Linked DNA regions of Kluyveromyces lactis. Each later gene encodes a partner of the first gene's protein in a complex. Links are inferred from orthologs where the notes say so. Each region holds a gene or a part of one and is shown in the gene's direction. Other genes may lie near its edges.

Region 1 (2,912 bases):
TCCAGACTCTAAAACCGTTCTTCGTTTCCTTCTGAAGGCTAGAGAAGGTAATAATAGAAATTTTACTGTTTTAGTGACTGAAGGATTCCCTAACAACGCAACCGTGGCTCATGAATTCGCTAAAAAATTAAGTGAACATGACATTGAGACTATTGTAATCCCTGATTCAGCTGTATTTGCATTGATGTCGAGAGTGGGGAAGGTCATTATAGGAGCTAAAACCGTTTTCACTAACGGTGGAACGATATCTTCGACTGCTGGTGTCTCCTCTGTATGTGAGTGCGCAAGAGAGTTCAGAACACCTGTATTTGCCGTTGCTGGTCTTTATAAACTTTCTCCATTATACCCATTCGATGTTGAGAAGATGGTAGAAATTGGAGGATCTCAGAACGTATTGCCTACAACTGAGAATGATAGAGTAGGTACCGTTGCTTTAGAAACGATAAATCCAATTGCTGACTATATTCCCCCGGAAAACATCGATATTTATATCACCAATATTGGCGGCTTTGCCCCAAGTTTCATATATCGTGTGGTATGGGACAACTACAAACAAGAGGATGTAAACCTCGGGGAAAAAATATAACGATCCATGCATGTCTGAAATAGATTTAATTTAAGATACGATCTGTTCTAAGAAACTCAGCATTCATTGTTGCATATTTCTTATTGATGTATCTGGTAATTCAAACCTTAAACATCGATTCTTGTTCTTATAATACCGATGCCCTGTGCCTCGCTCGGTTGAATGTATCTGAAACTTTCAATCTTGAGCTGGATGGTTAATGTTTATTGTTCAATTATGAATTAACGAAACATTTATGACTAATGGGCCACATCGAGTTGACTTCTTTTGAGTACGAAAAGGCCCTATTTTGAAATCAATGACCTTGACCCGTAATTAGAAGTTCACACATTCTTAGATAGTTTACCAGTAGATGCCTAATTTGGCTCATAGCTTTTTGTTGAGAAACAAGGGATCCTCTTCTCAACCGCAGCAGTATTCAAAAATTATTTGAAGGATTGATCCAGGTTCCATTCTTGATAATCGATAGTGGAGTATCCGCTCCTTATTCTCGTATCCTCCTTGTAGTAAACTAAATTTAACTTGAGCCAGTGCAGTGATTGATGCGACCATCATGAACTCTGGTCACGTGACTTGGTTGTTCCTCTCCACAAATGCTTCTGCGAAGTTGAGATTTGCCGTTTCAAAGCTAAAATGATGGTCACTCCGCAACTGACAATGAATAAATGATGAGACGCATTGCTTTATCAAAAAGGGTCCTTTGTATACCGGAAGCCATTGATATGAGTCGCAAATTGATAGTACTTGGTGGTACTGGATTCTTGGGGAAACGTATCTGTGAAGCTGCTGTTGGAGCAAATTTCCAAGTAGTTTCACTATCGAGGTCGGGAAAGGCTACTTCATCTGAACCATGGGCAAATGAAGTTGAATGGAGATCTTGTGATATTTTTAATCCTGACACATATGCACCAGTACTTCGTAATGCCACTGATGTAGTTCACAGTCTAGGAATACTTTTGGAGAATGAGAATTACAAGAAACAAATCAATGGTTCGTTTTGGTCGGTACCGAAGTTATCGTTCGGAGGGTTTGGTAAGAACCCATTGGCACCAAAAAAACCTGAGAGATCGAGATTTACATACGACATGATGAACCGTTATAGTGCCACCTTACTTGCAGACACTTATATGAAGGTGAACGGTGGTCAAGCTCAGACTTTCAGTTACATTTCGGCTGACAGAGGATTCCCATCAATTCCAAGTGGATACATTGATTCTAAGAGACAGGCCGAAGAACACATTTCCCAATACGGGAAACAGATAAGGTCCATCATTTTAAGACCTGGGTTTATGTTTGACGAAAGAAACTCTGAATCGGATGGAAGAACGCAGATTCGTAATTTCTTGCAAATGTTGAACTGCGGTAATGAAATGGTACTTAGACAAAAGATACCGTTTGTCAACGACCTTGTGCGACCATTAATCTCTACACAGCAAGTAGCACACTCGTTAATATTAGCATTACAGGATCCCAACTGTGAAGGGGTATTGACCTTGGACGAAATGCTCAAGATGTAAGAGAATGTATCTTTTATTTAAAACGTGAGAAATAATATTACAAAAAGTACTTTATTAATGAAGAGTTATAATAAACATGCGATGAGATATATGTTCCTTTTCTAAAGAAACAAATGCAGTATTGGGAAGGAACCAGTCAAAAAGGGTATATAGACTAGGTGATATCACTTCAGAGGATCTCTCTCTTCGAAGTTTTCTTTTTCCAAATTTCGTTTAATTCATCCGGATCTCGTGGCTCTGTCATCGGGACGCAAACGTCCACTTCTCCTTGCAGCTTGACGAACCTTCTGTAAGATAAATCTCTAATCATCAGGCAAAGTAAAATGCCACTTAAGGCCACGAAGAATGCGCTAACTAACATCAACCAACTTGACCACGTGACGTGGGATGCAAACATTAAAACGTCAATAAGGAATCCCAAGAGGGAAACCATGAAAGTGACCATGGACCAGCCCACGGCGAAAAGTAACACACTCTTTGAAGTGTTTAACCATTTAATACATATTAGAATGGCAAATAACCAAAACACCAGTACGCATACAAAAGACAATACATGAACCAGCAATAACTTCGAAAGAGCGTACTTAGCATGGTTTGGTAGATGAAGGTATTCATTATCATTGAAGAGAAGGATATCATCCAATGAATATCCCATACGTATTGGGGAGCAAATGGATCCGTCCACTTTACACCACCCAAATACACCGAATTTGTATCCATTATACTCCGAAATGAACAAATGTGATGTTATCGGTACTGATATAGTGTTGAACAATTCAAACACCAACGCAAGCGAGAGAGAAGTCAAA
Region 2 (2,809 bases), on another chromosome or scaffold:
ATATTCAAATGGATCTATGGACGGAATTGTTCCTGCTGAATGCCTCATCGAAGTTTGATTTTGATGATAAAAATAATGCCAGTAACGGTAATGCTTGGTATAAAGACCGTTCTGATACTCAGGAAAAGATAGTTCCTAAAGGTTTCAATGATGAAGAATCCTTTGATACAAGCGGCGGATCTAGTTTCATAGAAAGTCTAATGTCAAACATGGATGGTTTTTTCTCCACAGCTTCTACCATAATGGAGTCTTTATCGCCGCTGAAAGAGTACACTACTGATTATTCGAAAATAGAGAACCGTGAGTCGGTGTATGGGATCCCACATGGTTCTAAATTTTTTGTTATCAAGTCTTTCAACGAAAGAAACGTTAAACTTGCACTACAAAATAGTGTATGGTCTTCGACACGCAAAGGGAACAGAAGACTTGAGAGAGAATACCATAGTCTTGCACCAGGTGCTAAACTTTTCTTATTATTTTCTGTTAACAAATCTGGTAAATTCTGTGGCATTGCAGAGATGTGCTCGGATCTCATAGAAAATGATCCTCGCGCCAATATTTGGGAAACACATACTGATTCGTACACTTTCCCACATTTATTCCAGATAAAATGGTGGTATGTGAACGATGTGAAAGTGCGTAGATTCAATCATTTGGTTTGGGAAACTGATGGTGAACAGAAATCATTGGGCCATGGACGTGATACAGAAATTGTTCCGTTCAATATTGGACACGAAATTGTTGCTATTTTCCACAACTCATATACTAAATCGTCTCTACTATTTTAAATCTTGTTCCAAGAAAGGTCCCTAGAACTTTGCGACGGTTACACACGCGGTGACTGAATGTAATATAGCTAATGTATATAGTTGCTAAACTAGTAACTATATGATGGTGAACTTCCGGTATCAATCGCTTGGGTTACATTTCAAAACCCCCTTTAAAGGGTTTGGGAATGGAAACTGTCTCTACTAGGATCCACATCGAATAGCTTCCACTTGCCAGAGGTTTAGGTTTTACTTCTTGCACCTGATTCGATGACAGCATTTCTTCAAGCCACTGGCGCAAAATCGGGTAACCCAATAATATTTCCTTATACTGACAATCAGCAGATCATGGTGAAAAAGCACAACTTTGATATAGAATAAAGGTATACTATATAAATGGCTGGGGTATTGCTCTTCAAGGTTTAATTGTACAAGCAGTTCTTCATCAGGACAAGTATTTGTTGGTAAAGTTTGGCAGGTTAATCGCTATCTTACACTTCAAAGTTTCGCCCTTTCAATTGGCTTTTGGTATCAAGTTAGCGAATGCTTCGTACGTGCTGTAGGAGAGCCGTCCCGCTAAGACAGTTTTCGGTCTTATCTACCTTGGGCAATAGTAGCAATGCAGGGGAGCATAGAGCGGAACCTAATGAGTCTGCTGAATTGACCAAATTCAAGCCAATGTCAGACGCTCAGCTAGCATATTTGGATAGGGTGGTTAGGGTGGACCAGGCTGGTGAATTAGGAGCAAATTACATTTATGCGGGTCAATTCTTCGTACTTGCCAATAGATATCCACATTTGCGCCCTGTGTTGCAACATATGTGGGATCAAGAGATTCACCATCATGATACATTCAACAATTTACAGCTGAAAAGGCGTGTGAGGCCTTCATTATTGACACCGCTTTGGAAAATTGGAGCATTCGCAATGGGTTCTGGGACAGCTTTCTTGTCACCAGAAGCGGCAATGGCATGCACGGAAGCTGTCGAAACTGTTATTGGGGGGCATTATAATGACCAGCTTCGCTGTCTCAACAATCAATATGAATTGGAATCAGAAGATGGAACTAAAGTTGGACAAACTGTAGAATTGAAAAATTTACAAGCTACTATCAAACAATTCAGAGACGAAGAATTGGAACATTTGCAAACAGCTATTGATTACGATTCGCATAAGGCAGTCCCATACATTCTTTTGACGGAGGGGATCAAGACTGTTTGCAGAGTTGCGATTTGGGCAGCGGAACGTGTGTGAATGGTTGGCCCTTCTGACAGTACGCTAACCCTTTCTAATGAACCGTGATGAATACGTGATAAGGCATATTTGGTTTTATATATACAGATTGGAGAAGTATTATAGTATCGTATACAAACGTATATATTACACTGATGATATAGTTACACCCATACACGTTGGAAACTAACGTAAATCAATGTTTCAGGAAGAGAACCGCATGCTCCATTATCAAAAAAGAGCACATTAAAAGAAACAGTCAGTATGAATATGACTTTAAGACTAACAACTTCAAGCCAAAAAAAGTGCCCCCGCCTAATTGCCGTGCAACCGTTGAAAACTTACACTAAGTAAGTTGTATGGAAGCAGGTTACACAAGGGTCATACCAATCCATCATAAAGATTCAATGCCCCTACTATAGATGGATCGACCTTCGATCCGTCTCTAAATTCATCTAACGTAATACAACCATCTTTGTCTTTATCCATAAGCCTAAAGATCTTTTCTACCCTTAACTCTGGAGTAGCTTCATCGTCACTTAGTTTTACCATGTTCCCGATCATTTTATAAATACTTGACACTATGGTCAACATTTCTTCATATGAAATTACGCCATCGTGGTTTAAATCATAGAGTTGGAAAGCCCAGACTAACTTTTCCTCTAAGGAGCCCCTGGAAGTGGTGCTTAATGCTGTGATAAATTCTTTGAAGTCAATGGATCCATTATTATCCTTGTCAAACACGCTAAACACATACGTAGCAAACTCATCTGGCGAGCCAAAGGGGAAAAATTGTTTGTATATCTTGA

What was found.
Region 2: COQ11 (region 1) and CAT5 share a complex: the UniProt entries of both Saccharomyces cerevisiae proteins name them as parts of the multi-subunit COQ enzyme complex. The link is inferred for Kluyveromyces lactis from reciprocal best matches to the Saccharomyces cerevisiae genes COQ11 and CAT5.

The regions. Positions count from the first base shown.
Region 1 is NC_006037.1:400,136-403,047, reverse strand, and holds COQ11 (ubiquinone biosynthesis protein COQ11), read left to right. Parts: upstream 1-1,251; coding exon 1,252-2,103; downstream 2,104-2,912. Other genes in the region: KLLA0_A04433g (translation initiation factor eIF-2B subunit), read left to right, coding at 1-586; KLLA0_A04389g (SUR7/PalI family protein), read right to left, coding at 2,273-2,912. UniProt on the Saccharomyces cerevisiae protein: Component of MIOREX complexes, large expressome-like assemblies of ribosomes with factors involved in all the steps of post-transcriptional gene expression. Component of a multi-subunit COQ enzyme complex required for coenzyme Q biosynthesis.
Region 2 is NC_006041.1:223,392-226,200, reverse strand, and holds CAT5 (putative monooxygenase CAT5), read left to right. Parts: upstream 1-1,310; coding exon 1,311-2,021; downstream 2,022-2,809. Other genes in the region: PHO92 (mRNA-binding phosphate metabolism regulator), read left to right, coding at 1-788; FRQ1 (frequenin), read right to left, coding at 2,382-2,809. UniProt on the Saccharomyces cerevisiae protein: Catalyzes the hydroxylation of 2-hexaprenyl-3-methyl-6-methoxy-1,4-benzoquinol (DMQH2) during ubiquinone biosynthesis.